4 linked regions of the Stegostoma tigrinum genome follow. The protein of the gene in region 4 interacts with the protein of the main gene of each other region in a pairwise test. Links are inferred from orthologs where the notes say so. Each region holds a gene or a part of one and is shown on either strand. Other genes may lie near its edges. The genes, in order: dtx2, ubiquitin-associated and SH3 domain-containing protein B-like, ubiquitin thioesterase OTUB2-like and fam168a.

Region 1 (7,704 bases), on a different chromosome or scaffold from region 4:
AATGTAAACATCTAGACCAAGCAATCTTGGAACTGACTGCAGGATCTAAAGCTGTTCACTTCAGCTTTATTGAAATGGCTTAAATTGAACAACACCCTCGTACAGTTCTTTGGAATTCAGAGATTTATGTCCTTCACTTGGGACATCTCACATTTAACTATATCCTTGACACTGGAACTAATTCAAGTATTTGGAGAGAGGTGAATTGGAACAATAATTCCCGTCCAGCTTTTTGCCATACATGACTATCACTGCCTGTACGGGGCCAGGGTTCATTGGACTGTTCGAGGACACGTGCGGGCACAATCACCAGGGATTTCAGTTGGCGGTTGGGAAATAAATTATCCTAAATTATATCATTAACTTTATTAATAATTAAAATGTAAACTATGAATGTTAATTATATAATTAATGTTTATGTTTGACATGTTATACTTTGTTTATATTTTACAATTAATGTATATTTATTACTGTGTTAATACTATTAATCCTAATGGTGGGTTACTACAACTAATATACACATCAAATATTGTAGGTGACGCTGGACAACTGATCAAGGATTCTCAGATATTGGGGAATTAGTCCTTCAACCTTCTGATGTGACATTTCATCCCTGTCCTCTTTCAACAATAGAGGTTCCCTGTGAGAGGCTTCAACACATCAGTGAGCAACACAAGGCACTTTTATGAGTGTCCCGCAAACTGTCACATCGTACTCTCATCAGGTAGCAAGTACAAAATAAAGCTGAGATAACAAAGTGTGAAGCTGGATGAACACAGCAGGCCAAGCAGCATCTCAGGAGCACAAAAGCTGACGTTTTGGGCCTAGACTCTCTGATGAAGGGCCTAGGCCCGAAATGTCAGCTTTTGTGCTCCTGAGATGCTGCTTGGCCTGCTGTGTTCATCCAGCTTCACACTTTATTATCTTGGATTCTCCAGCATCTGCAGTTCCCATTATCACAAAATAAAGCTGTTTGCTTGTAGTTGTGAGCTATCACCTCTAGATGTCTCTGCTGAATTATATTGCTTGAAGTCAATATTTATTTAACTTTGTTTAAGATAAGTTATTAAGAATCATTGAATCCCTACAATGTGGGGACAGGCCCTTCAGCCCAACAAGTCCACGCCAACCCTCAGAGCATTCCACCCAGACCCATACTCTCTATAGCCCACCTAACCTACACATCCCTGAACACTGTGGTCAATTTAGATTAGATTCCCTACAGTGTGGAAACAGGCCCTTTGGCCTAACAAGTCCACACCGCCCCTTGAAACATCCCACCCAGACCCATCCCCCTATAACCCACGCACCCCTAAACACTACGGGCAATTTAGTATGGCCAATCCACCTAGCCTGCACATCTTTGTACTGTGGGAGGAAACCGGAGCACCCGGAAGAAACCCACGCAGACACGGGGAGAGCGTGCAAACTCCACACAGACAGTCACTCGAGGCTGGAATCGAACCTGGGTCCCTGGCGCTGTGAGGCTGCAGTGCTAGCCACTGAGCCACCGTGCCACCCATAAAATTACAGGTATTCTTTCTGTATCGTTTTGAAGTCATTCTCTGTCTTTCCCATTCACCTGTCTTTACTACTGGACATTTCTTTGATTTCATCTGGTCACTATCCCCTTTGTCTCTGCCAGTTCCTTGCCAAAACCATTACTTTCCAGATCACCAATCTTGTAGCCAGCTCCTGGCCATCACAGCAAACCACTGGGGTATAGTAAGTTTGATAATGAAATATTGAGTAATTAGGTTTATTTGCTTTCTATTGCACAAATGGTCTCAACATGAAACTCAAACAGAATGTTATCCCTTGAGGGAGGGGGAACATAGAAAAGATAATTCTAGAACTGTTTTTATTCACTCATGGGACATAGTTTTGGTCATTACTCACCACCCAAGAACTGAGTGGCTTGCCAGGCCATTTTAGAGGGGAGTTAAGAGTCAACCATATTGCTGTGAGTCTGGAACCACATGTAGGCCAGACCAGGTGAGGATGGCAGATTTCCTTCCCTGGAGATCATTAGTGAGCCAGACAAATTTTTCTGACAATCAGCAATGGCTTCATGGTGATTATTACATCTGTAATTCTAGTATTTTTTTAAATGAATTCATATTCCTCCATCTGCTGTGGTGGGATTTGAACCCAGGTCCCCAGAACATTAGCTAAGTTTCTGGAATAATAGTCTAGTATAATTATACCAAGCCATCACTTCCCTGTTTAGGCCTATTCCTTTCACTGTAATTTTATTTTGCACACTGATTTTTAAAAATAATTACACAAATTCTAAAAGAACTGCACTGTACAGAGTTATTTAGGTCCACTTGACATGTCAAAATACTTTATAGCCAAATTATGCTGTAATACATTTGCAGGGCAGATGGAATTTGAACCCAAACCATCTGATTCACAGATAGTGACACTAACACCACAACACAGGACCCTCATACTTTTGTTGGTAAATGTGACATCAAAATGCACGCAGAAAGATCCCAAATTGTACAATGAGATGAATAAAAATTATTTTTTGAGATAAAGCTGCTATTTGAGAAGTAAATGTTATATAAAGCATTAAAACTTTCTTATGTACATCTCATGCTGCGGAATCTCAACCTGCCTGAGTGGGCTAAAAAGGATGTAAGTTTAAACCAGCCATGACTCAAACTGTAACAATTTCCTCATTGACTCAGAAGTTGTGGGTCTAAATTTCACTCTGAAAATCGTAATCTGAATTGACACATCAAGCATAGTACTGTGAGGCTTTTTCCCCCAATTAGTCAGATTTTAAATTGTCGCCTTATCATCTCAAGTAAAAGTTCCCATTGTCCCATGGAAAGAACAGGAATGTTCTCTCTGTGTTCTGACTTTTCTTTCCTTTCAACATCCTTAACAATAGAGATCATTATTATGATACTTCTGTTTGTGGGAACCTGGTGTGTGGAAACGGCTGTACATTTCCTACATTATCAAAGTGACTGCTTAAAAGATCCTTTATTCACTGTAAACCATTTGGAATGTTGTGGTCATTGACAAGTTTGCAAAGGTAAATCTTAAGAGATCCAGCTAAAAGACCACAGTAGTTCTGAAGTATGGTACCATAAATAGAAGCAGAGACACGTATTTTTTAAAAAGACACTGAATTAGTGTAAGGATCTGAAATGCATATGGCTGGAATAATTAGATAATACAGCTGCTTAAGTGAACGTAGCACCACTTAAGAAAAATAAGGTGGTGATTTTGAAAAAAACTGCACAGAATACAATTAAATGAAACACTAGTCAATTTCGAAGGTGGATTTACCTTTTTTTAAATCCCAGATGTTTCTTTGTACCACAATGACGCTATATTGATTTAATATCGGATTTAAAAGAAATACCCCTGCAGATTTATAACTCGTCTAATTCTCATCATCGTTTCATAAGTTTTTGGGAGAGAAATAAATGTATTTGCACCTATTGACTGGATTTACCAGGATGTTACTACTACCCCTTGTACCAGTCTGTGCTGTCTTCGTGAACGCAGCATTCATTCCAAATGATAATTTGCCTTAGAAATAATCTTCCGGACACGAATTTTCCCATCAGCCCTGTACAATTATTCTATTGTGCTCTAGCATGACCCCGAATTGAATGTGCGTCTGCGAAACCAGCGTTGACAGGAGCATGAAATAAAGTAGACAAATGGGAGCAGCGGTTCGCTTATTCATTCCTAAACGTGCCAAGTGGATTATGCACTCAAATAAAATCAAAATACCCGGATTCTGGAGATTTTGAAATAAAAACAGTGTTGGAGAAACTCTGGTTTTGGAAGGAGAAACAAAGTTAACGTTTCGCGTTTAGTATGACTGTTGGGAGTTTTATAATTCTCCAGCACTGTGTTTTACAATGATTATGCATTTTGTTTTTACACGTGGGTATTGCTGAAACCTTGGTGATGTTTATAATTACAGAGTTCACTTTATGTGGCCTGTGTAATTAAGTCTCCCCCGCCAGATATACACTATCATTCCGATAAAAGTTTATTACCAAGTTTCATTTCTCGACTCGCACCTGACACCAGCCGTCAAGAGTGGGCGCTCGCTGGAGCGGGGTCGCATGGGATTTGTTGTTCACAGCTAGTGAAACAGCAGCTAGGCTTCCGGCGCTGTTGGCCGGAAAGGACTACAGTTCCCAGAAGGCAGCGCTGGCGTTGACACCCTGGAGACGAGGAAAACAGTGAGAGGGAGGAGTTTGAATCGGAAAGTTCTCGGTGTTTGTTGTTGTAGCCGATACAAACTCGTAAATCCACTTTAGAGAGGACGAGGATGGCAAGTCAGGGCGTCGGAAATGGCGGGGTAGCTGCTGGAGGAGGGGGCCTCGGTGCCAGTGGCTCGGCTTTCTCGGTCACCCCTTTCTCTGTGTCGGGCCCAGGAGCTGGCCTGGGTCCGCTGGTCTCCGTGTGGGAGTGGGAAGACGAGGCGGGTCGTTGGAGGCCCTACAGCAGCCGGGTGAGCGAGCACATAGAGCGCAACCTCCAGCATTTGCAGGGAGCGGCTGCGGCGACAGCTAAAGGAATCAACAGCATCTCCCTGGGCCAGGCCGAGCCCAGGTTGGCTCCCTACATCATCGATATCCCCACACTCACCCAGTTCCGACAAGACACTGGTAAGACTAGCCCCTCGCTCTCAAAAGTGTCAGCAAGATTTAATCACATACTGATTATTTACAATCTTCAGCTTCACTTTTGGTGTTGCTATCAGTGATTCATTCAGTCGTCCTAAATGTTTGCTCCAGGTGCAGATTTATTTGTTAAAATGTTTGCATTTCTTCTGTAAATTGCTTTGCCGATTTAAGCCCGAGGTTTTTTTGACTAAGAAACAGTGTTTTCAAAAACTAATATCACCGAAAAGAAATCAAACGTTAGCCAGGTGTAGAGCTGGATGAACACAGCAGGCCAAGCAACCCACCTATTAATCTCATGCCGCCCCCTTGACCTGCCTGTCCTCCCTGGACTGACCTATTCCGCCCCTACCTCCCCACCTACACCCACCTTTAACTGGCTCCATTCCCGCCTCTTTGATCGGTCTCTCTCCTCTTCCTCTATCCATCTATCCGCCTCCCCCTCTCTCTCCCTATTTATTTCAAAACTCCCGTTCCCTCCCTCATTTCTGAAGAAGGGTCTAGGCCCGAAACGTCAACCTTCCTGATGCTGCTTGGCCTGCTGTGTTCATCTAGCTCTACACCTTGTTATCTAAGATTCTCTTGCATCTGCACTTCCTACTCTCTCTCAAATATTAGCCATACTATATTAAGGTTAAAAGATTTTTCTGCAGCACTACAGTTTGTTTAGGCTACTAAAACTAACATAGGTAATTGTTAATATTTAACTGTGAGACTAATCATTTCAATACCTTGGTAATAGTTGCTATTGTAATTAGGGTATATATTTGTCAGATTCCCCCTCTCTCTCTATTTCAAGGGGAGATGGTAAGGTACTAGTAACCCAGAAGCCCAGGCTTTGGCTCCAGGGAAATGGATTCCAATTCCATGACAGCAATGGGAATTTAAATTCACTTAAGTAATTCAAAAACTGATTATGCCAATAAGACAAATCTCGATTATTTTAAAAACCTAAGTAGTTTGTTAATTGCTTTTTGTAAAGAAGCCTGCCACCTTTACTTGACCCAGCCTGCGTGTGACTCCATATCAACAGCGGTGTGGTTTATTCTTAACTGCCCTGTGAAATGGCCTAGCAAGCCACTCAGTTCAAGGATGACAAGGGATGGGCACCAAATGCTGACTTTGTTTTTAATGAGCTCATTGACAAAGATAGTTGGAACTTTATCTTTGATATCTTCCCATAATTGCAACTGTGGCTCAGGGAAATTGGGGTCTTAGCACTGACTTTAAGTTTTGATGTTCTGCGTGTTGTGGAAATGTGCTAACTTACTGTAGTTTGGAATGATTCATTTTTCAGGTTTTTTCAAGTCTGAAAAGAAGCAAGACAAATGTATGCTTTCTCAAGTCAAAAATAAGATTCCATGTTTCATTTGTGATTTTAGAGCTAGACTTTGCAAAGTTAACGTGAGAAATGAGTCAAACACATGAAGTAAAGATGAGCTTTCACAAAGTTGTCAGTGGCTCCTCCACATTGGGACTGTTGATTGTTCATGCATGACGAGAAAACTGAAGGTGTTTATGACCTTAAAGCTGGCTGTCAAGAAAGTTTAATGCCCCCTCAGACATCATTGTTATGTTGAAATTGCAGTTTTTGGTCTTCAATTTTAGAAACTTTCTACAGCTTCATCTTGATATTGAAATCTGGCAGGAAAGAATCTATTTGGCTTGTCTATTGAAACAGGAGAGAAAAAAGGAATCAGTTTTGCAGAGCATTATGCAAACAGGCTTTCTTTGGGTGGATGAAAAGAGAGCAAATAAAGTTACTTTAGGATTTTGACTTCTATTTTAAACTGAAATACAATCTGGACCTGAACACTTTGGATTTATTGACTTTTTTTAACATGAGCTGCCATGTATTTTGTTAAATTCTAGTTGTGTTGGAGGCTTTTTCCATGTGTTGGAGTTTTTGCCCATGAGTTTGATTAACAAGACCAGTAATTTGACCGTAACAGTACATTCAGTTAATGTTAAAGGATTTCTTTAACACTTGAGACCTGTCTTGCATTAGATTGCAAGAATGTTAATTTTTGTAGTAACTTTCATATCACATAAATCCCAAAGTTCTTTGCATTACTTTTCGTACTTAAATGTTTTTGCCAAACACAACAGACAAACAAAAAATAGAAATTGCTGGAGAATCTCAGTGATCTGGCAGCATCCATGAAGAGAAAATGTGAACATTTTAAGCCCATTGACCCTTCTGCAGGCCTTGACTCATCATTTTATTGTAGTAAAATCCCAAAAACAAAAATTAGATGGCCTACTAATTTTGCTGGTAGCGAAGGATAAATATTGTCTAGGGTTCCAGGCATATTTCCCTGTTGAAGTTGGTTGGCTCGCCGAGCTAGTTTGTTGTTCCGCAGGCGTTTCGTTACCATGCAGTGCAGCCTCAGATGAAGTGTCGATGTGTTTTCCCACCTGGTTTTTAAACTCTGGAGTCCTTTGAGCTGGATTGTCTCACTTGCAGTTTTCCTTCGAGGTGGAGTGCATATGGGGTCGAGTTCTATGTATTTACTAATGGCTTTCTTTGTGGAGTGCCAGGCTGCTAGGAATTCCTGTGCCCGACGCTGCTTAGCTTGTCCAGGATTTTGGTGTTGTCCCAGTCAAATTGGTGGTTCTCCTTATCCATGTGGATTGCGATGAGTGCGTATTGGTCATGTCTTTTTGTGTACCCTTGTTGTTAGTTTCCTTCCTGTTTGTCCAATATAGTGTTTCTCACAATCTCTGCAGGGGATCTTACAGATGATATTGGTCCTGTCCTTGGTGGGGAGTAGGTCTTTAGTTTGGGTGAGCAGTTGTCGTGGGGTTAATGTGGGCTTGTGTGCCACCCTGATGCCCAGCAGTTTTTGGAGTCTTGTGGTTAGTTCCAGTGTGTTACTGATGTTCTGCACTGATGATGTTATCCAGCATGGTAACGAAACGTCTGTGAAACAACAAACCAGCCAACCTCAACATTCACGACCCGAGCTACAAATCTACTCCAAAACCTTAGATATTTCCCTGCTCTTCAAGAGGGGAGTCAAGGCCTCAGTTTAACACC
Region 2 (7,540 bases), on a different chromosome or scaffold from region 4:
GAGTATGTTATAGTGAACCCACATGCTATGAATCAGATCTAAGCTCTGCACTCCTGCCATACCCAGTTATGAATGGTAGTGGATAATGAACCAGAAGAGGAGGCTCCATCAAAGTTTAAATCCTTAATGGTAGGGGAGCCCAGCACCTCAGAGCAAAAGACAGGTTGAAACATCTGCATCCATCTTCAGCCAGAAGTCCTGAATGGATGATCCATCTTAGCCTCCTACAGAGGCTCCCTGCATCACAGGTGCATGTCTTCAGCCAATTCGATTCACTCTACGTGACATCAAGAAACATCTGAAGGTTCTGGATATTGCTCTGGACCCTGACAATATTCTTGCAATCGTACTGAAGTTTATGTTCCAGATGTAGTTGTGTCCCTAGTCAAGCTGCTTTGGTTTAGCTACAACACTGATAATCTACCCAACAATATGGATTTTCTTCATGCAACAATGCATTTTATTCATAAAATATTTAAAAATATATTTCAAAGCATTACAAATTTGACATTATTGAAACTGCATTAAAATTAGACTTTTCTCCATTGAATTCTTTTGACTCAATTCAATTGAAATACACATGGCATTTACTCTATGCATCCAGCCACAAGCATCCAGCCTGAGGGATTCTATGGGAATCCAGCCCCTTGTTACACAATGGCTAAAGGGTCTTAGAAGCTGGTCTTTCTCATTGCATTTCTGTAATGACTGTTCCAAGCTTTAGTACACCCCTCAGAACATAGTCCTGAACCTTGGAATGTGCCAGTCTGCATCACTCAGTCAAGGGCAAGCCTTTGTACTAGAAGACCAGCAAGTTTCAGGCACACCAAGTTTCAGGTGGTCTTTTACCGAGTTGATGGCCCTCCAGTTTGTATTCCTGGTAAAATTACCCAGGTATGTCCTGTCCACAAAAAGCAAGGAAATTCCAATTGTGCCAAATATCACTCCATCAGTCCCCTCTGAATCATCAGCAAAACCATAGAAGGTATCACCAACAATTTTTCTTTGTATTTTTAAATGAGATGCAAGTTTTGATGGCTGGGCTACGTATTAGGAATTTTTAATTGCTAAGAGAAGATGATGATGAACTGCTTTTCAAAATTGCTGCAGTCTTATCAGTATGTGTCTTGGACGGGAACTTGCATGGTGGTATTCCCATGTATCTGTTGCCTTTTTCCTTCTAGACGGTGATATCAAACGACACTTAAGCAATTATAACCTCATTGAATTATGGCATCAATGAGCTCAAGCAAAGAGGTGTGAATGGGAATTGAAGGAATTCTGTGTTCTGAAGAAGGGTCACTGGACCCAAAATGATAGCTCTACTCTCTCTCTACATATGCTGCCAAACCTACTCAGTTTTTGTTTCTGATTTACAGCTTTTGCCGTTCTTTGGGGTATTTTTAGTATAAAATTCTGAGATTCTGACCAGTTCTCATAGCCACAGTATTTATATGTCTGGTCCAGTTCAACTGTTCATTAATGACAACCCCTGGAATGTTGATGGTGGGGGATTCAGCAAATGTAATGCCATTGAATATCCAGCGAAGATCTTTAGATCCTCTCTTGTTTGGATTGGTAATTACCTGGCACTTGTATGGAGTGACTATATCTCGGCACTTATCAGCCCAAACCTGAATGCTGTCCAAATCTTACTGCACAGGGATATGGACTGCTTCAGGTTATGAAGTATTGCAAATGGTGTTGAACATTGTTCACTGGTGATTGCACATCACAACTTCTGACCTTATGTTGAAAGGATGGATATTAATGAAGCAGCTGAAGAAAGTTGGGCCAAGGACACATACCTGAGAAACTCCTACAATGATGTCTGACTGCTCAGCTAATTGACCTTTGAGAACCACAATCTTTGTGTGAGGAATGACTACACATGATAAAGAGTTTTCCCTCAATTACCATTGGCTCCTTGGTGCCATAAATTAATACGGGCTGCCTTAGTGTAAAGGGGAATCACTCTCACCTCTGCTGTGGAGTTCAGCTCTTTTGTTCATGTTTGCACAAGGCTATAATGAATGGCCCTGGTGGATTTTAAATTTAACATCAATAACCACGTTCTGAGGAAGGGTCACTGGACCGGAAACATTAATTCTGCTTTCTCTCTGTAGACCTCCAGGATTTTTTCAGCAATTTCTGATTTTGGCTTGGAATTCTATGACACATAACTATATCACCATTTCTTCACTGTTGCTGTGTCAAAATTATGCACTGTACCTATATCACCTAGATTGCAGTGGATCACAAAGGCAACTCCCCACCATCTTTTATATTCCTTAAAAGTATACTTTATTCATAAAAGTTGTAAAGATTTTACAAAATTATTGTGACTTGGAAATACAACATGTTGCATTCAATATGACTGTAATAAATTTAATACTTACAAAATGCATTCCACATTAGATATACTGCCCAGGTATGAAAACAATTCAGATGGGAAATTACAGAAAGTGTAAAAGATGTACAATTATCCTCAATCCACCATGGTTTATACTGAGGTGCCTCAATATATTGTCATTTCTCTTGATTTACAATTACTTTCTTTGAAAGGCCACAACCCAAGGATTTCTGCAGTTCTTAATCCCTTGGTACACTATGGTTAAGATGCTTTAATCCACCAGCTATCTCCATTACACCTTTGTGGCGGCTGCCCCAAGCTTTAGTGATCCCTCAGAGTCATCACTTGTCTTCTCAAAGACCATCAGCACTGGGCAATGAAATATTAGTCGTGGCAATAATGCTCACAACCCAACAAGCAATTAACAACAAGTAAGAGATCAGGGACTAGGAATACTGTGGAGAGTAACTTACCTCTTGACTCACAAAAGCCTTTCCATCAATTACTAATGGAATACTCCACACTTTGCATGCAGCTCCAAAAACACTCAAAGCCATTCAGGACTAAGCAGTTTGCTTGATTGGCACCACATCCACAAACACTCACTCCCTCCACCATAGACACTCAGTAACAGAAATGTGCACTATCTACAAGATGCAATGCATTATTCATCAATGCTGCTTAGACAGCATCTTCCAAACCCATAACCACTTCCATCTCGAAAAACAAGGGCAGCAGATATTTGGGAACACGACTAGCAGTAAGTTCCCCTCCAAGCCACTCACCATTCTGACTTGGAAATATATATCCATCCCTACAGTGTCACTTGGACAAAATCTTGGAATTCTCTCTCTAAAGGCATTATGAAACTGTCTACAGCACATGGACTTCAGTGGTTCAAGAGGAAGCTGAAGGGTAACTAGGGACCGGCAGGTAAATGTTGGCTGGCCAACGACACTCCACACCCATGAATGAATAAACAAAGCGCCTTCAAAATGCTATGACTGTAGCAATGTGAGAAAAACGGCAACCAAACTGGTCACAAGCTGTTTCCAGATGTTGTTAGCACCAGAGACATTTACCCTGGATAACAAGGTGTAGAGCTGGATGAACACAGCAGGCCAAGCAGCATCAGAGGAGCAGGAAGACTGACGTTTCGGGTCTGGACCCTTCATCAGAAATTCAGATTTCTGAAGTCCAGACCCGAAACGTCAGCCTTCCTGCTCCTCTGATGCTGCTTGGCCTGCTGTGTTCATCCAGCTCTACACGTTGTTATCTCAGATTCTCCAGCATCGGCAGGTCCTACTATCTCAGAGACATTTACCCTGTTCTTTTTCAGGTAGTGCCTTGGGATTTGAGACAGTAGGCCAGGCCTCACGTTTCACATTTCACCTCATCCGAAAAATGGCACCTTCCAAAGTGCAGCATTCCTTCAGCGCTGCACTCTGTGCTGTAATCTCTGGCATGGGACCTGAACTCTCAGGCTCAGACACTTCATTTTGAAAACTCACTATTGATGCAGTTTCCGTGAGCTCAATCCCCAATTAACAATTGAAAACTGTATGGAAAAACTTTCATTACATAGCATTAAACTGTTAATAAACTCATCCGGAATAGTTCAGGAAATATTCGTTAAATAAAAACTTCATGCCTTATTGGATAGGTAGGTAGTTCATTAATGCTCCTGAACTTTTCTGTGAGATCCAGATCCGGCAGCGTGGGTTGGGAGCTCCATATAAGGGAGGAAGGGAGGGAAGCTGTTTATACTGTCCCTGACCCATTCATAAATTAGCCAGTTACAGAGAAGTCTCCAGTTCGAGTGCTACAGTAGCAGCGTTTCTTTGCTACTTCCATGCCCGCTTGTGTAATATTTTAACAAGGGGATGGTTGGACTTCCGACGTGTGTTTGAAGTGAATATCGCCTGAGTGACTTTAGACCCTGTGTATGTACCAGGAAGTCGATCCTTTACGCTCTTGAGCTGTGGTTGTGTGAAAGACGCTGTCTGCATTCTGTAGATGCGGGGACTGATTTGTCTGGAATGGCACTTTAATCTCGCATACCATGGCTTCTAAAGAAGAGCTTTACAGCAAAGTTGTGCCCCGAAAGAATAGGCAGAACCGACCCGGGACCGTTAAACATGGGTCAACACTCGAGGTCTTTTTATCAATGGGATTCCCTAAAACCCGGGCGTAAGTTGGATGAGTTAAGATGTATCTATTTCTTTCTTTGTTTCTTTTTATTTTGTAGCTTCCACATTGTTACTGTATCCAAATGGCGCTGGCTCTGATACCGTGTTTCCATTTGATGTAACGTTTCTTTCTGTAACAGACCTTGCTACATTGTTGAGAAGGGAGTTGTCACATGGCCTAGAGATTCAAAACATGTTTAAAACGGAATAGTGTTCGCTAAAAACGCCCAGTGTTCAGTGTGGCATATGACAGGCTATCATTTCACAGTCTCTCTGTCTCTCCCGTCGTATATAATACAAGAAAAAATAAGATATAAACTGGCTGCTCTCTCACCCTTTCTCTCTCTCTCTCTCACACACACACAATAACAAAACTGCAATGTAAGGCCTGCAGGCAGGAAGGTGGGTGATGGTCCGGGTTTGTTCTGGAACCGAATGGAGTGGCTCCGTTGCAGTTTTATTGCCGGTCACCCAGAGGCTGCAGAAAGGTTTTGAGAAGTGTGCAGTCCCGGGGCTGTGAGGATTTCCCAATTCGGGATATGTCTGTTTCAATCACACTCCTTTCCCCCTCCCCCTCCACCTCCCTTTTTTTGGTTAAGGGGTTGCTTTTGAAAGCTGTTTTTTTTTAAAATCGAGGGAACTAAATTTTCCAGGAAAACAAAGCAAACATATTGCTGTAAGCGAAACAGAAAATGCTGTAAATACTTAGTAGACCCGGCTGCATATGTGCAGAGAAAGCAGAGTGAACATTTTCAGGTCTCGATGACCTTTCATGAACCCCCTGCGTATTTCTAATATATTTGTTCTTTTTTTTACAATGAGTTGGTTCTGCATTCGGTCCAGAATGAACATAGAATCCTGTGCACTCTACTGTTTTCTCAAACCACTAATGAAAGCCGCTTTCTCTCTCCCTCTCCCTGCAAGCTGTTCTTAAAAAGGTGAATGCGGCAAAATCTTTTCCCCAACTAGACATGGTTTTCCAAAGCAAATAGTTTGAGTCCATGAGCACAGAAAGGCTCCTTTACTCTTTTTTTTTAAAGAATTGTATTACAGAACAACGCGTTGACATCCTGCACTAATATTCTCTATATTAAAATTCAGTTTAAAAAGAATACACAATGTTTCTCTCCACTCCCTGCAGCACCTGCAATTTTCTGGAATACCACAACTTTTTATAATTCTCCTCAAGTGGAGAACTTCTGTTGGGGAGTTACATTGACTCCACATACCACAATGAGAAGACATTGTTTCCACTAGCAGGAGTCAGTAACCAGAGTTATCATTTGGGTCAAAGGCGCTGAGAGGAGTTCCGGAAAAAAAACATTTTGAAATGTAGCGACTTATGATCTAGAATGTGTTATCTTAAAAAAGGTGATAGAAGCAGATTCTGCAATTCTCAGAATTGTATAAATGCTTGCTGGAGGGGGCGAAAACTGCAGGAGAGTGGGGTTAATTGAATAACTTTCAGACTCAGCACAGACAAGATCGACTGAATGGTCTCACTCTGCCACAAAGTCAGATTCTGCTTTTGCAATGTTACCAGTTTTTGAGCTTGCATTCTGTGACTGTACCAATGATTTATTTCAGTGGAAAACTGAAAACAAATGATTTTGCCTTCGCGAGAAGGAACAAACCTGTCTTTCTACAACTTCTGGCACTACCTTGGAATCCCTCAGTTTTAAAATTATTGAATCACTTTTATATTTAATATAAAACAGCCACTGCGGAAATAGAAGATAATAAAATGTGAGGCTGGATGAACACAGCAGGCCAAGCAGCATCTCAGGAGCACAAAAGCTGACGTTTCGGGCGTCAGCTTTTGTGCTCCTGAGATGCTGCTTGGCCTGCTGTGTTCATCCAGCCTCACATTTTATTATCTTGGAATTCTCCAGCATCTGCAGTTCCCATTATCTCTGATACCACTGTGGAAATAGGATTTCTTTTTGCCTGCTCATCAGCCTTACCAGCTTCCCTGTTGGGTACAATGACCACTCTATTAACCTGAATTTGCCTGTTTTCATTATTTTGCCATTTGGTGTATCGTCCGTTGTAACAGGGGATGTGAAGCTGCAATCATAGAACTTCTGCAGGATTTGATATCCTATTAGGACTTTGGCTGCATCAATGCTGAGCTGATTTCTTACTCTGGGGGAGGGGGGTGGTTGTCAATTGTTCCCATACAATGATTTCCTGATCTCAGTCAGGCAGGCATTTAGAGAAAGGCAGCATTGTTTAACTAAGGTACAATCATACAATCACTACTGTGTGGAAGCAGGCCAGTGAGTCCATGCTGACCATCCCAAAGACCATTCCTCCCAGACTCTTACCCTATCCCTGTAACCCTGCATTTCCCATGGCCAACCTGCCTAACCTGCACATCTTTGGACGATGGGAGGAAACTTATGCAGACATGTGGAGAATGTGCAAACTCCACACAGTGGGTGGAGTTGTCCAAGGGTTGAATTGAACCTAAGTCCCCAGCACTGCAAGGAAGTAGTGCTAACCGCTGAGCAATCAGGTCGCTCCCAGTTTTTCAATTTTTTTAATTTAGTTTTTTTTTGAGCTAGCAGAGAGGGCTGATTAAAGCAATACAATGATGTAATGTATGGAGACTTGCAAAAGATTTCTGATAAAGTGCCGCATTAGTGTTGTCAACAAATTGAAACCTATGAAGTTTAAGCGATAGTGACAGCCTGGATATGAAATTGATTGAGTGACAGGGAAGAGCATGTACAGATGCACGTTCTTTGGACTGGAGGACAGTATTGAGTAGGGTTCCCTAGAGAATGTTGAGTAGGATCACTGTTTTTCTTGATCTTTATGAATGATCTAAACTTGGATGTGCACATCTTGATGACCACAGAATTTGGAAGGATTGTGAACTGTGAGAAGGGCAGTGATAAACTTCAAGGGGCTGGAGATAAACTGGTGAAACAGATGATTGTTTCACAGAAGAATTTAATGCAGTGAGGTATGAAGTAATGCATTTCGTAGAACA
Region 3 (7,920 bases), on a different chromosome or scaffold from region 4:
TGTTTTTTAAATCCACAAAGACACATCTATGCATTGACACGAGTAAAGATCCAACATATAAATATGTTGTAATCAATGCCTAGCTCGTATTCCATGAATTATAGTTTACAAGTAGAAACACCAGAATTGATTGATTCTAACTCCTCTTGAAACAAACATGAATGGAACAGCAACTAAAGCATTAACCATTGAAGATGACAGGATTTCACAGAAATATTAAAGGATGCACAGGAAACAGGATAATGCCTTTAAAGAATAATAAAATGAGGGGTTGGTAGAATATAATGTGCAGGCCATCTTCATGAAAAAGTAGTCAAAAAACTACATTAATGAGCATTTTCATACCATTTAGAAATAGTCTTTAGAAATAATGTAAAGCAGAATTTCTTTTCCTAAAGTCCATCTATTCAGCATAAATGCTGGTTATCAGAGATAAGACGACCACAGACATAGGAGCAGAATTAGGCCATTTAGCCCATTGCGTATGTTAAACCATTTGATAGTGGCCAATAATGTTTCTTAACCCCATTCTCCTGCCTCCTCCCCATAACCCTTGATCCCCTTACCAAAGAAGTACTGATCTATCTGTATTGACCTCCACATCCCTTTGCAGCAAAGAGTTTCACAGATTAACCACATTCTGGTTAAAAAGATTCCTCCTCATCTCAGTTCTAAAGGGTCATCCCTTCACTGTGATGTTGTGCCCTCATGTCCTAGTCTCACCTATTAGTGGAAACATCCTCTCTGTCTACTTTATTCAGACCTCTCAGTATTCTGTAAGTTTGACTCAGATCCCCCCACTTATCCTTCTAAACTCTATTGAGTACAGACCCAGAATTTTCAAACACTTGTCATTTGACAATCCCTTCATCCACAGCACGATTCATGTAAACCTCCTGTGCACCCCCTCCAATGTTAGCGTATCCTTCCTTAGGTATGGGGCCCAAAACTGCTCTCAATATTCCAAATGCAATCCGAGCAGAGCCTCAAATAGCTTCAGCAGTACATCTCTGCTTTTGTTTTCTAGCCCTTTTGAAATTAATGCTAACATTGCAACCACCTTCCTAACTGCAACTGAAAGGTTAACAAAATCCTGGACTTGGGCTCCTAAGTCCCTTTTCTACTTCAGGTTTCCGAGGCTTTTCCCTGTTGAGAAAACTGTCTATGCCCTTACTCTTCTTACCAAAGTGCATAATCTCACACATTCGCACAGTGTATTCTGTCTGCCATTTCTTTGCCCAACTTCCTAGCCTGCCCGAGTACTTCTGCAACCTTCCTGCTTCCTTTACTACCTGAAACCCCACTTACCTTTGTGTGATCTGAAAATTTAGTAACAATATCTTCAGGTCCTTCATCCAGATCATTAATGTATAACATGAATTGTGATCCCAACACAGACCCCTGCTGAATTCCAGAAGTCACCAGCTGCCAAACTGAAAAAATAGCCCTTTATCCCATTTCTGTCAGTCAGACAATTCTCTATCCGTGCCAATACCTTGTCCCTATATCACAGCCTCTTCTCTTATTTCGTAGCCTCCTGTGTAACACCTTGTCAAGGCCTTCTGGAAATCCAAATAGATCACATATACTGGCTCTCCCTTGTCTGACTTCAAAGAATCCTCACAAATTTGTCAGGCATGACCTCCCCTTGAGGTCAGACTAACCAGCCTACTGTTTCCTACCTACTGCCTCCCTCCCTTCTTAAAAACAATGGTGTTACATTAACCATTTTCCAGTCCTCTGACACCTTCCCTGACTCAAGTGATTAAGTGTAGAGGTCACCACCAATGTCTGCCCAATCTCCTCCACTTTCTCCTTCAGAACTTTGGAATGTAGTTCATCTAGCCCAGGCAATGAGCAAGTCCAGGTCTGGTTCAGACCTTTCACCTTTCCTCGCACCTTTTCCTCAGTGATGGCCACTACACTCACATCTGGCCCAAACTCTGTCAAAGTTTAAGCATGCTGTTGGTGTCTTCCACTGTGAAAACAAATGCAAAGTACCAATTCAGTCTCATTTTCCAAGGATCTCATGTCCGCTCTTGCCTCTCTCTTAACTTTTAGATATCTTAAAAAACCTTACCATCTTGTTTTATATTACTAGATAGCTTACTCTCATATTTCATCATCTCAAATAGCTTCGGCAGTACATGCTTTTTAAAAGGCTTCCCAGTCCTCAGGCTTCCCAGTAATCTTTACCATTCTATGCTTTTTCTTATGAAAGCGAAAGCAAAAGTAAAAGGCATACAATGTGGTGGAGATGAGTGGAAAGTTTATCAGAAATCATTCTTTACTGACCAGTGCATCTGCGACCTGAAGAATAAATTTGAACACAGCACACCTATATTACAATGTACAAAGAATCCACGAGATTACAAGACATCAGTTTTAGGGCACGGGTTGGAACACCCTGAACTACTGGACTTTGGTTTCAAATCCTCATTGGCAATCCTAGTGAGAGACTGCAAGAAGGTGTGAAAAATAGAAATTTCACAATGGCTGATATTAGGATTTTGGGATATTATTGGAGTCTTGATCTAGAGCAAGAATTTGAAGGGATACCAAATGAAGCATTTGTAAACCCCGAAACAACACAACATTTGCTTTGTTAATACAGCATCACTTAATTAACAAACTGTATAATACAAATAAAAAGAAAATACATCATTGATCCTGACCACCAAAGCAAAGTGTGCATCAAGTTCATGATGTGACTTCATCAGCAGACCTGAAATGTTAACCGTCAATCCACAACTGCTGCCAGACAGACTGACATTTCCATCAGCACTCGCAACATTTGGAGAAATTATGTTATCTGCCCACAACACATTTCCCCCTAGTTTAGCGAAGCACATCTCACCTTAAATTCTCACAACTTTTTGTAAAACTCCTGCACAATTTAAAGACAAGCATATCTTTTAAGTTCACTGCTTTACAGCAGACGGGTGAAAGCACAGAAAGGACATATATCTTGGTCAGCAGAACTGGTTACGTTTTCCCTAGCTTGGTGTTGTGACAACGGCATCTAACCTACAAAATCTATCGGGGAGTAGTGGCCAACAACCATCCTGTTTCATCCCAACCCATCAATCCTGTAGCATCCATTCTCAAAACCACCCTCCCCCAACCATGCTATGGGATTATGTTTAACTGCTCACAGTGGCAGGAAGGTGGGTGGGGGTAAGGAGAAGGGAGCGAAAGGACGAACCCCCAGACTTACTGCACCATCCATTGCACCCACAGTGGAGGAGAAAGAGGAAGGGTGAGCACTGAGCTCCTGCCGTGCACTGAGATGCAGCACGGGGCCCCGCGATTGACACATTGCTCAGGGGTGGGACGTCACCTAGCTCCGCCTACCCCGCTGCCGGAAGTGACGCGTGACATGTCACAAGCGGTGGCCCCGCCCCCACGCGGTAGCCGCCGTTCCGTTGCTTTCAGGCGGCGGCTCAATCAGGGCAGCGTACTCCGAAGGTTGAAGACGGTAGCCCAATCGGAGCATCGTGCGCCTGGGGGAGGAGGCGGAGATCCAAACAGAGCGAGGGAGAAGGCTGCAGTGAAAAGCGTGAGCGTGGGAGGCGGTTTGATCAGTGCAGAAGGAGGCTGGGGGGCGGAGGTGTTCCAATTGGTGCAGCAGCGGGGTGCGGTGCCTTCATACAGTAAGGGGGGGGGGGGGGGGATGTGGTCCATTCAGACAGCAGGAGGCCAAGTGGGGAGGCGGTCCAATCAGAAGGCCGGAGGGCGAGGTGGGGGTGAGGCGGTCCAATCAGACGGCAGGAGGGCGGGGGAGCGGTAGTGTACCTGGAACAACGACAGAAGTTGCTGGAAAAGCTCGGCAAGTCTGGCAGCTGTGAAGATAAAAAAAATCCGAGTTAACGTTTCGGGTTCGGTGACCCTTCAGAACTTCCTCAGTGCCCCTGGTTCGTGCTCCTCGGGCTGTGGGCCGGGTGGAGGTTCAGGTACCACGAAGGTAGTGTCTGGCGCACTCTGAACTCATTGCAAGCTGGTGCGTTTGCTGCCCTTTGACATTGTGGATGACATTTGAGCGGCAGTTTTAAACCCTGTTTAATTCGTAGAAACATTGAAATAGGAGGAGGCCATTCGGCCCTTCGAGCCTGCTCCGCTATTGTTCACAATCATGGCTGCTGGTCCAACTCAATAACCTAATCCTGCTTTCTCCCCATAACCTTTGATCCATTCGCCCCAAGTGTTATATCTAGTCGCCTCTTGATACATTCAGTGTTTTGGCATCAATTAGTTCCTGTGGTAATGAATTCCACAGGCTCACCACTCTTTGGGTGAAGAAATGTTTCCTCATCTCCGTCCTAAATCGTCTCCCCCGAATCCTCAGATTGCGACCTCTGATTCTGGACACACCCACCATTAGGAACACCCTCCCTGCACCTACCTTCTCCAGTCCTGTTAGAATTTTATAAGTCTCTATGACGTACCCACTCATTCTCCAGAACTCCAGCCTGGTAAACCTTCGCTGCACACCCTTGAGTGTATGAGGATCTTTCCAAAGAGACCAAAACTGTTCACAATATTCTAGGTGTGGCCTCAACAAGGCCCTGTACAACTACAACAACACATCCATGTTCCTGGACTCGAAACCTCTCGCAGTGAAGGCCAACATGCCAGCTTACCTTCAGCAACTGGTGCACAGTCTCCTCTCCCAATTTAAAGCCATTCAGGTAGTAATCTGCCTTCTTGTTTTTGCTTCCGAATTGATTGGCGTCACAGTCATCCAAATTATACTGCATGTATAATGATCAATGTATCAAAGTATGTGCATGGACAAGTTGGACAGAAGAGTCTGTACTTCTGTATTCCTCTATGGGACTAAGTGGATGATGCAGGTTGTATTGTAAAGGAACTTTCTGAAGAAGAATTATATTGCACTCAATGTCAGTTCTGTTTTTCTCTTCACAAATGCTACCAGACCACCTGAGTTTCTCCAGCTTTTTCTGTGTTTTTTCTGATTTCCAGCAGCAGCAGTATTTATTAAAAGAGCGAATTAAATATGGCATTAGTGAGTGAGAAACAGAAATGGCTTCTTCACTAAAAGTATTGAAGCATGAAGGTGTTTTCAAACTAAAAATCATAACATTTACTAACTCGTCAAAAAACTAGCAAAGGAATTCAATGAAAAACTTATAAGTGAGAATATAAGGAGGTGGAATCCACTTTGTAGACGATGTCTGAGGCTAAATGCACATCAGAATAGGGAGCTGCTGCTGGTCTGATATTGAGGAACGTGCGTTAAAATTGTCTTCAATGGTCTTCAAAATTGTCAGAATCGTCATCACCCTATAATCACTTAAGTCTACTACAATTTCAGAGTTTATAAGACTTTCCTAAAATATCAGTGAATATCAGAAACAATTATTTTGCCAGAGATGTTGAGAGAGAGTACTAAAATTCTAAAGGCTCTATGGTTCAACTTGCCAGAATGTGTGTAGAAGCTCAAGCTTGAATTTTTAAAAATTCAAAAGGAGTTAAAATGAAGCTGGAAGATTTACCTTGCTCGCTCCAGAAGGAAGATCTCCAGTAACATTCTCACTGCAAAGATGTTAGCGGGTAGATGAGGGAAAAAATACAGAAGTCTCAAGAATCATTTGGACTGATTCTGGGGGCACTGAATGTCCATTTAAAAGACAGTGTTATGTGTACCAATGAAGTGTTTTTGCATTTAAAACAAGAAACGTATTACTCCCTGCATTTTGAAGTATAAGTTGTCAACAGTGATAGTGTTTAATTACTCAGACTTTCAGCCTTTTCATTATAGTGAACATCTTGAACCACATAGTATTAGAGTACCATCCTTTCAATCATTAATTGGAAATTCATATTGCTTTTTAAAAGTTATAAATACATACCAATATCCAAATATATGGCTCAAATCCAAATATATGACCCTAAGTCCAACAAAGATTTCAAACAGCTAGTTGATGTAGACATTTTATGGGACAAAGCAGCTCAATGTTGTAACAGAAGACCAAAATTGCTAAGATACCACCTCTGCTAAAAACTACCAGGTTGTGATATATCATGATTAGAAAGTGGCAAAAACAAATTGTATCCATGAAATCACATCAGCAACATAGATGGGACGCCTATGAATTTTGATTTGCCCTACATTCAATCCGTAGAATGCAAAGATGCAAATTCATCTCCAAACTCTGAGACTTAGGACTCCGCTCGTCACTCTGCAGCTGGATCCTTGAATTCCTGACCCACAGACTGCAATCAATAAGCATAGTTGTCAACACCTCCTCCACAATAATCCTCAACATCGGTGCCCCTCAAGGTTGCGTACTCAGCCGCTATACTCCTTATACAAACGATTGTGTGATCAAATTTGCTCTAACTCTATTTACAAGTTTGAAGATGTCATCACTGTAATAGAATGTCTAGGAGTTAGGACATCATGTTGCAGCTATTCAAGACATCGGTGAGGCCACTTTTAGAATACTGCATGCAATTCTGTTGCCTTCTATAGGAAGGATGTAGTTAAACTTGAGAGCATGCAAAAAAGATTGACAAGGATGTTAAATGTCCATTGTATCCGGTGTGGCTTCCTCTACGTTAGAGAAACCAAGCGGAGGCTTGGGGACCGCTTTGCAGAACACCTCCGCTCGGTTCGCAATAAACAACTGCACCTCCCAGTCGCGAACCATTTCAACTCCCCCTCCCATTCTTTAGATGACATGTCCATCATGGGCCTCCTGCAGTGCCACAATGATGCCACCCGAAGGTTGCAGGAACAGCAACTCATATTCCGCTTGGGAACCCTGCAGCCCAATGGTATCAATGTGGACTTCACCAGCTTCAAAATCCCCCCTTCCCCCACCGCATCCCAAAACCAGCCCAGTTCATCCCCTCCCCCCACTGCACCACAGAAACCAGCCCAGCTCTTCCCCTCCCCCCACTGCATCCCAAAACCAGCCCAGCCTCTCTTTGCCTCCCTAACCTGTTCTTCCTCTCACCCATCCCTTCCTCCCACCCCAAGCCGCACCTCCATCTCCTACCTACTAACCTCATCCCACCTCCTTGACCTGTCCGTCTTCCCTGGACTGACCTATCCCCTCCCTACCTCCCCACCTATACTCTCCTCTCCACCTATCTTCTTTTCTCTCCATTTTTGGTCCGCCTCCCCCTCTTTCCCTATTTATTCCAGAACCCTCACCCCATCCCCCTCTCTGATGAAGGGTCTAGGCCCGAAACGTCAGCTTTTGTGCCTCTGAGATGCTGCTTGGCCTGCTGTGTTCATCCAGCTTCACACTTTATTATCTTGACAAGGATGTTGCTGGGACTAGACGGTTTCAGTGATAGGGAGAGCTGAATAGGCTGGGGCATTTCTCCCTGGAATATTGGAGGCTGAGGAGTAAGCTCCTAGAGTTTTATAAAATCATGAGGGGCATGGAAAGGGTAAATAGCCAAGTTCTTTTCTCTATACTGGGGGAGTCCAAAATTAGAGGGAATGAGTTTAAGGTGAGATGGTACAAATTTAAAAAGTGGCATCTTTTTCACGCAGAGGGTGGTGCTTATATGGAATGAGCTACCAGAGGAAGTGGTGGCGGTGGGTACAATTACAACATTTAAAAGGCATCTGGATGGGACTGTGAATAAAAGAGGTTTAAATGCTGGCAAATGGGACTAAATCATATTGGGATGTCTGGATGGCATGAATAAGTTGGACCAAAGGGTCTGACTCCATGCTGTATGATTCTATGACTCTATATTTCAGGCACTTAGAGATTGTGCAGGAACCTGCTTGAGTTACAGACAGGGTTAGTGGGGTATTGGCGGGGGTGGGAGGGTGGTGGGGAAAATCTTGTTATCTTGCTGCAAACTCCATCCTCTTAAGTACTGCCTCCACCACTCTCTCCATAGCAGCAATCTCAGGTGTTTGCAGCCTTTCCA
Region 4 (8,573 bases):
ACTAAAGTAAAAGTGGAAGCTAGCTATTAATGCAAAAACATATAGCAAGACTTTCTATAGGCATCTAAAAGGGAAGAAAGTAGTGTTTGTTGATCCTTCTGAGTGTGATAATGCTGAGCCAATAGTGGATAATCTATAAAGGTGTGCTGGAGAAACATTTCACTTCTGAATGTGTAACAGAGGATACATTAAACACTCCAGGGATATTTGCAAATTGGGAGGTTGAATGAAGAGGGGAATCTGGTTAAATCTTTTGGCATTGTCAACAAACATTCAGGAAAGAGCATGATTGTCTACCAAGGAAATTCAATGTCTTTGATCATGGACTCTGTGGATCATTGCATGGCTGATGAGTCAGGGAGGTGGAATTGGGCTTTGGCCTTGAGATCATTGGTATTTCTTTCTCTGGTTCCTTTTCTATGTTTCTATTGCCAATGGGGGTTCTTGAGGAATTCTGTCCCTTCATTCAGGATGTTCCTCCAAATCAAAATATTTATTCAAAAACAAGGGTCTCCGTCATGTTGACATTTATGTTGCATTTCTTAAGGGAACCCTTCAGGGAGCCTTTGAAAGGTTTCGTTTGTCCTTCTCTCATTCAACTGCCTTCCCAATCACTAGAAAAGTAGTACTTAGCAAAGTCATGGAGCTGTGAATAAGTCTCTGGGTCCTGATGGATTTCATCCCAGGATCTTAAAGGAGCTCAGTAATGAAGTAGTAGATGTGTTGCTGTTAATTTTCTCAAATTTGTTACATTCTGAAAAGATTCTGTCAGTTTGGAAAATAGCAAATATAATCCCTCTTTTTAAGATGGGAGGGAAGCAGTTAACAGGAAATTAAAGGGCAGTTAGCATGTCATCTATTGTGGGGAAGGTGTCAGAATCGATCATTAAGGAAGTTATAACTGGGCATTTGGAGAAACTCAGATAACTGGGAAGAGTCAAAGAGTTGTGAAAAAGAAATCATGTTCAACCAATTTATTGGAAATCTTTGAAGAAATAACATGCACTATGGATAAAGGGGAATCTGTTGATGCACCATGCCTAGATGCTGAGAAGACATTTGACAGGTTTCAATATGAGATATTGCACAATGCAGCAGCTTGTGGTTATAGACTTCCATATTAGCAAGGACAGAAGGTTGGCAGACTGGTAGAAAACAAAAGAATGCATAAATGGATCTTTTTCAGATTGGTATGTGAGGAGTGGAGTCTCACAGGGATCTGTGCTAGGCACTCAATTTTTAATAATTTATCTCAATGATGTGGATGAGAGGATCTAAGGCATAGTGGCTAAGTTTACATAGGACAAAGAGATAGATAAGAAATTATGTTGTAAAAGTGACAAACAAAGATGTGGACCAATACAGATAGATTTTAGCCCATTCAGATGCAATTTAATGTGGGGAAATGTCATTGTTCATTGACAGGTACTTAAATGGAGAACTGCAGAACTCTGAGGTACAGAGAGAAATATGTGCCGTGCTGTAAAACTGACAAAAGTTAGTATGCAGGTACAGCAAGTAATCAAGAAAGCCACTATTGGAATGGTATCCATAGAAGAGTAGTTCTGAACTGAACATAACGTCCTTACCTTTGCATAGGGTATCAGCGAGATCGCAGCTCAAATACTGTGAGCAGCTTTGGTTTCCTTTTTAAGGAAATATGCAAATGCAACAGAGAGGGTTTATTAGATTGGTTTTTTGAATTAATGGATTGTTTTATCAGGAAACATTGGTCAGGCTAGGCTTGTTTCCACTGGAGTTTGGATTTGACTGAAGTGTATAAGATCCTGACAAGGCCTTTGTTGTGCAGTAGTAACATTCCAACGTCTGAGCCAGGAGACCTGGATTCAAGTCCCACCTGCTGCGGGGTAGTTAATAACATCTCTGAACAGGTTAATTTTTTAAAAAAATCATGACACAGTGGACACAGAAAGGATTGTTCCTCTTGAGGTGAGTCCAGAACTAAGGCATGCTTTTAGGAAAGAAATAGAACATAGAACATAGAACAGTACAGCACAGAACAGGCCCTTCAGCCCACAAGGTTGACTCATTTCTCTCAGATAACAAGGTGTACAGCTGGATGAACACAGCAGGCCAAGCAGCATCAGAGGAAAGAAAGAACAGGAAAATTGATGTTTCAGGTCTGGACCCCTCTTCAGAAATTGGGGAGGGGAAGGGGACGCTGAAATAAATAGAGAGTGGGGGGGGAGACGATGATGGAAGGTGGATAAAGGAGCAGATAGGTGGAGAGAAGTCGGGCAGGTCAAGGAGGTGGGGATGGAGCCAATGAAGGTGAGTGTGGGTGGGGAGTTAGGATGGAAGTTGATCAGTTGAGGGAAGACAGACAGGTCAAGGAGGCGGGGATGAGGCTAGTAGGTAGGAGGTGGGGTTGGGGTTGGCCAGTGAGGTGGGAGGAGCGGAAAAGTGGGAGAAAAGACGGACAGGTCAAGGAGGCAGGGATGAGCTGGGCTGATTTTGGGATGAGGTTGGGGGTGGGGAGATTTTGAAGCTTGTGAAGTCCACATTGAGATCATTGGGCTGCAAGGTTCCCAAGAAAAATGTGAGTTGCTGTTCCCGTAGCCTTTGGGTGGCATCATTGTGGCACTAGAGGAGGCCCAGGATGGTATGTCATCCAAGAAGTGGGAGGGGGAGTTGAAGTGGTTTGCAACTGGGAGGTGCAGTCGTTTGTCACAAACCGAGCATAGGCATTTCACAAAGTGGTCTCCAAGCCTCTGCTTCGTTTCCCCAATGTAGAGGAGGCCATATCAGGAACAACAGAATACAATATACCATATTAGCAGATGCGCAGGTGGACATCTGTTTAATGTGGAAGGTTTTCTTGGGGCCTGGGATGGGGGTGAGGAGGGAGGCGTAGGGGCAGGTGTAGCACTTCCTGCAGTGGCAGAGAAAAGTGCCAGGAGTGTTTGAGCTAGTGGGGAGTGTGGAGCAAACAAGGGAGTCACAGAGACAGCGGTCCCCCCAAAAGGCAGATAAGGGTGGGGAGGGGGAAATGTCTTTGGTAGCGGGGTCCGATTTCCGATGGCAGAAGATGAAGTGTTGAATCCAGAGATTGGTGGGGTGATGCGTGAGTATGAGGGGGATTTTGTCTTTGTTGTTATTGTGGGGAGCGGTTGTGAGGGATGAGTTGGGGGAAATGTGAGACATGCGGTCGAACGCATTTTCGATCACTGTAGAGGGGAAATTACGAATCTTGAAAAACGAGGACATCTGAGATGTGTAAGTGGAATGCCTCACCTTGGGAGCAGATATGGCAGAGGCGAAGGAATTGGGAATAGGGGATGGCATTCTTGCAGGAAGGTGGGTGAGAGGCGTATTCCAGTAGTTGTGGGAGCCGGTCGGCCTGAAATAGATATTGGTTTCCAGGTGATTGCCAGAGATGGAAACAGAAAGGTCCAGGAAGGAGAGAGAGATATCAGTGCTGGTCCAGGTGAACTTAAGGTTGGGGTGGAAAGTGTTAGTAAAGTGAATGAACTGTTCGAGCTCCTCATGGGAGCATGAGGCTGCGCTGATACAGTCATCAATATAACGGAGGAAGAGGTGGGAGACGGGGCCAGCTGCGGAAGATGGACTTTTCCATGTGTCCTACAAAGAGGAAGGCATAACTTGGATCCATGCGGGTACCCATGGCCACTCCCTTTGTATGAAGGAAGTGGGAGGAGTTGAAGGAGAAGTTGTTAAGGGTGGGGATGAGTTCGGCTAAGCAGATAAGGGTGTCAGTGGAGGGGGACTGGTCAGGCTTGCGGGAGAGGAAGAAGTAGAGAGTCTTTAGGCCATCTGCATGGGGACTCCTCTGATGCTGCCTGGCCTGCTGTGTTCATGAAGCTCTACACCTTGTTATCTCAGATTCTCCAACATCAGCAGTTCTTACTATCTCACTTCTCTCAATAAGATTTGCACTGCTCTGTTTTAAAAGTTAACAGAGGCAGAAGTAGGTAGATAACATTTCTGCCACTCAAATGCCAGGCAATACCATTTCCAATAAGAGACAATCTAACCACAACCTCTTGACATTCAAAGGCATTACTCTCTCTGACTCCTCCTCTATAAACACCATTGAACAGAAACTTAAGTGGACTTGTCATATAAATAAGTGGCTGCAACAGCAGGCCATTGGCTAGAAGTAATGCAGTGAGGAATGTCCTGATTCCTCAAAGCCTGCCCACCATCTACAAAGCATAAGTCTAGATTACAGTGGAATATTCCCTATTTGCCTGGATGATTGTAGCTCCAATGACATCCTTCACACCACTCAGGATAAAGTGGCCTGTTTGACTGGCAACTCATCCACTCCCTACACCATTGGCACTGAGTAGCATACTACATACAGTACATAGTGTACGGGAAATTTGCCAAAGATCCTTAGCGAGTTCCAAAATGGCAACTACTTCCAACTAGAAAAAGACAAGGATAGCAGCTATACGGGAACACCACCACAGCAAGTCCCCCTCAAAACCACTGAAATATATTAGATAACAAGGTGTAGAGCTGGATGAGCACAGCAGGCCAAGCAACATCAGAGGAGCTGGAAAGCTGACGTTTCTGACAGACCTTATTGAGAGAAACGTCAGCTTTCCTGCTCTTCTGATGCTGCTTGGCCTGCTGTGTTCATCCAGTTCTACACTTTGTTATCTCTGATTCTCCAGCATCTGCAGTTCCTACTATCACTGAAATATATTGCTATTCGTTCCCTTGTCATTGGGATGAAATCGTGGAATTCCCTCCCTTACAGTATTGAGTCAACCGACTGCAGCCGTTCAAGAGGGCCGCTCACCACCACCCACTCAAAGGCAACTAGGGACAGGCAATAAATGTAGGTGCAGCCAGTGATGCCCCTGTCCCAAAACAGAATAAAATCTTACTCACGGGAATCAAAGCTTATCGGGCGAAGGTGAGAATGTGGAATTCGCACCAGCCACGATCTTACTGAATGGTGCAGGAGAACCTGGTGAGCCGAAGGGCCTACTTCAGTTACTGAATCGTGAATTCTGTCTCTACCTGAATACCTACAAAGATTATCCGAAAGGTTTAAAACCGCGGAGTGGCACTCGGAACACAAAGACGATTTTGAGGAAGTTGCCGGGATGTTTAGCGAGAAGCCCAGACAGCAAGTAGCCACATCCTTATCGGACACAACTCCAAAAAGTGAAACCCCCGGAGAGTGTAACGCTCAATCTGTTCACAGTGACTGACAGTTGGAGCTGAGGGGGCGGGGCGTAGCGTAATACGGACTGCGTCATGGCGAGTGGCAAGAGGCTGGGAGCGTGTCGGGCGTGGCGTCATGCCGTTGTCCCCGCCCCTCTCAGCCAGTTGGGTTCGGTTTGTGAAGGAGCCTGAGCGGAACGGAGAGGGAGAGCAATATACACAACAGGCAGGCAGGCAGGGAGGGAGGTGCTCGGTCCGGTACTTACTGGTAAGCAGCACCTTTTATCCCCCTATATACATGTACACACACCAGCTTCAGCACACCTTTATGTTTAAGCATTAAGCTGAAAAGTGTATGTTCATTATGAGGGTTAGGGAGGGGACATGGAGTAGAGGCAGAAATAAAAAGAGGTTTTCTCTTAAGATGGACGTTTTTTTTGTGAGTGAAATCTGCGGCTTGATTGCGGCAGGGCTGATTCCCTCCCCTCCAACTTTAACTAATGAACTATTGGTGGCGGTTGTGGGGGAGGGAAGAGCTGCGGAGATTTATTTGTTTGGGGGAGATGGTGGATTGTTTCTGTGTGGAAGGGAAAAATAGTAATCATAAAAATGGAGGTTTGGCGTTGACTGACTTTTGCTGCTTGGCTTCCCTTGCTCATTGACTCCTATTCCCAGATAAGATGAAGAGTTTTTACTCTCTCTCACCTCAGGAATGCAATGAGGCGCGGAAATAACCGCGATTTAGGAAATAAATTGAAATTTTCAATTTTCATGTTGGAGTCCAATTTTTATGTTTTAATAAAAAAATGTTCGTTTAAACGCATTTCAACTTTTTAAGTTTTTAAAATGTTCTTTCCCTAACACTGCCACTCAGTTCAGGCAGCAGTAATTTCTTTCTCCATTCCGTGCCTTTTCTCCAATCTGTGGCAGGTCCAACTGGAAGGGATAGTTGTTCCTTTTTTTTGTTTTATTTTAAAATGGACGTTGTTAGTTTACTTACAGACGCATGGTTGCATCTAATTGAACTAAAAGCGTCCACCAGTTCAGTGTCGATGAATGACCGTTGATGTATCCAGTCGTTCATTTGGGATTGCTTTCTTAGTCCTCAGTCCTCTTAAAAAAAACTAAAAATGCGAAAATGGTCGCGATCGTTCTGCTGAGACGGAGCTGCAGACGCATAGCCATTTTTTAAAAACTGGTCATATGGTGCGATTTTTAAAATCGGTTTGTACGTGCAGTATAAAATCGTGTGTTTTGAATTTCGAAAAGGTGCTCGCACTTTTAAAATCCTTATTTGTGTTGTGTGGAAGCATGATACGAATGCTCAAAATGGACGGGTTATGGCTGCTGCTTGTAAGAGCTGAAAGGCATTAAAATCATTTTTTTTGGATGAAGGCAACTACATTTCAATGCGTCTGCTATTCGGCGCATTTGGTCTTCCCCCGCTAATTTGTCCCTTTTTGAATATTTAGGATAGGCTTTCATAAACTCACGGGGCAGTTTGCATTGATCTTTCGATTGTCTCTTGAGCCTAAAAATTCCTTCAGTTTTTTTTTCCTTATTCTCTGATGCAAGTGCGTTAACTCTCACGTCAATCCGGATTTTTTTTTGTGTATGTATTTGCATTGAACTGTCAGAAGTTTACCCCGGTTTCTTTTGAGCGGATCCTAGGTCGCTTCAAAAGGAGGAAAATAGTTTGGAATTTTATTTTTAGTTAGAAGGTTTCCAGAAGAGTTCTTGCGCTATAGTGTTGATGTGCTGTCAATCCACAAAGAAAACTATCACCAACTTTATGTTGTGTACAGTATCGCATCTGGGCTTGGCATGTTTGTATTAATTTTTTTTGGGCTTGTGATGTATTTTTCTATGACAAGGCTTCAATAAATGTGTTCACTTGATTCAGTATTTGGGTAATTGGCCAAAATGGTATTTTGTTGATCATGCGTAAAACCGTTTGCTTCATCAAATTAATTTTTTTGCTGCTGGCACTTTTCTTGAATCAAGTTTTAGATTGTATGCAATTTGGAAAAAAAATCTTACTTTCAGCTATTTTGTTTTTAGTCAGCTAGCCTAAATTTGTGCATATCTCTATTAAATATAGAAATCCCAGTAAGAAAATGTAGGTTGCTAGTTCTCAGTCGCTTGCCAGTTTTTTATGATCATTTGATGAGGCATACCCTCTAGAACAGACTAGCTGCTTTCAGGTTAAACCTCACAACCAGCATTCTGAGAGGTATTCACTGTTACAGCATACTAGCTGTAGCAGTAGATACTGCCCATTTTCTCTACTCTTCACCTAACTGATGCAATTTGTATATATGTCAATCTGTAATTTGTCAGAAATTACATTTCCCTTAATCATTTTACATTGAGTTGGCACACAAGAATGCATGTTAGTGAAATATGTGGTAGATTCAAATTTCTTTGCAACGTCAGATTCATTTTTAGACCAAATAGATTTTTACATTTATTGCAGGACTATCTGGGACAATTGAACATGTTGGAAACCTGCCTTATGAATCTAGCACCTTAGCACCACAGGTCTGACAACAATCTAGTTGGTGTTATTTGTAGCACTGGTCTTTAATTGCAAAAGTTGGATTTTGTTTCTTGGCTTGTCCAGGCTCTCTCTCTCTGGCATGGATCTTTCAATTACATGGTTGCAATTTCGTATCAAGAATGGGAGTGTTGAGTTGAATGTCAAGTTTGTGACCTGGAAATGATCTGAACTAGATTTATTGAGAACTGTCGATGTTGTGATTGGTTATGCTGAAATTGGTTAAATGTAATATTGCACCTAATTCTGTGGGCGTGTATGCCTTTCTTTTTTTTTAAACCCTCAATTATGTACATAGGTTTGAAGTCCAAATGCCATTCTAAACTGATCAATATGTAGGAAGATTATTTAAGGACTATAAATCACCAGACTACTTTGCGATTAGAGTATAAGTTAGCATTAGTGTCTGCTTTCATAAATTATGCAAGGTATGTGCAGATTGGTGAAGTTGAATTTGTGTGCTGTGCACACAGCATTATGTAAGCAAACAATTAAATGAGTGACATAACTACTGTGGGTAACAATAATTTCATCTCATTTTATTAAAATGAGAAATTTTAAAATTCACATTTAAATATTTGTGATCTTGCAATAATCCGATGTTGCATAATGAAAGTGCACCTTTGAATTAACTGTCACCCCCACCACCATTCTTCAACCCAAAATTGGCTGACTTGGCTTGGTTTGATGGTGCTGCCCCTGTACGACTTGGTATAGGCCATGTAGCCGAGTTACTGAAGTGAACATAACTCCAATTTACTTATGTAGTGGAGAATATCTCTGTATGCAAAATAAAACAAAAGAACTGCAACAGTTTGAGATCTGAAATGCACAAAAACAGAACCTACTGGAG

What was found.
Region 1: the proteins of fam168a (region 4) and dtx2 interact in binary tests that used the Homo sapiens proteins (3 or more experiments, as listed by UniProt). The two-hybrid records come from large-scale screens. The link is inferred for Stegostoma tigrinum from reciprocal best matches to the Homo sapiens genes FAM168A and DTX2.
Region 2: the proteins of fam168a (region 4) and ubiquitin-associated and SH3 domain-containing protein B-like interact in binary tests that used the Homo sapiens proteins (3 or more experiments, as listed by UniProt). The two-hybrid records come from large-scale screens. The link is inferred for Stegostoma tigrinum from reciprocal best matches to the Homo sapiens genes FAM168A and UBASH3B.
Region 3: the proteins of fam168a (region 4) and ubiquitin thioesterase OTUB2-like interact in binary tests that used the Homo sapiens proteins (3 or more experiments, as listed by UniProt). The two-hybrid records come from large-scale screens. The link is inferred for Stegostoma tigrinum from reciprocal best matches to the Homo sapiens genes FAM168A and OTUB2.

The regions. Positions count from the first base shown.
Region 1 is NC_081380.1:9,060,050-9,067,753, forward strand, and holds the start of dtx2 (probable E3 ubiquitin-protein ligase DTX2), read left to right. Parts: upstream 1-4,187; 5' UTR 4,188-4,309; coding exon 4,310-4,649; intron 4,650-7,704. UniProt on the Homo sapiens protein: Regulator of Notch signaling, a signaling pathway involved in cell-cell communications that regulates a broad spectrum of cell-fate determinations.
Region 2 is NC_081385.1:4,780,552-4,788,091, reverse strand, and holds the start of ubiquitin-associated and SH3 domain-containing protein B-like, read left to right. Parts: upstream 1-4,145; 5' UTR 4,146-4,415; coding exon 4,416-4,543; intron 4,544-7,540. UniProt on the Homo sapiens protein: Interferes with CBL-mediated down-regulation and degradation of receptor-type tyrosine kinases. Promotes accumulation of activated target receptors, such as T-cell receptors and EGFR, on the cell surface.
Region 3 is NC_081363.1:25,975,643-25,983,562, forward strand, and holds the start of ubiquitin thioesterase OTUB2-like, read right to left. Parts: upstream 3,340-7,920; 5' UTR 3,320-3,339; coding exon 3,206-3,319; intron 1-3,205. UniProt on the Homo sapiens protein: Hydrolase that can remove conjugated ubiquitin from proteins in vitro and may therefore play an important regulatory role at the level of protein turnover by preventing degradation.
Region 4 is NC_081359.1:91,583,265-91,591,837, reverse strand, and holds the start of fam168a (protein FAM168A), read left to right. Parts: upstream 1-5,317; 5' UTR 5,318-5,431; intron 5,432-8,573.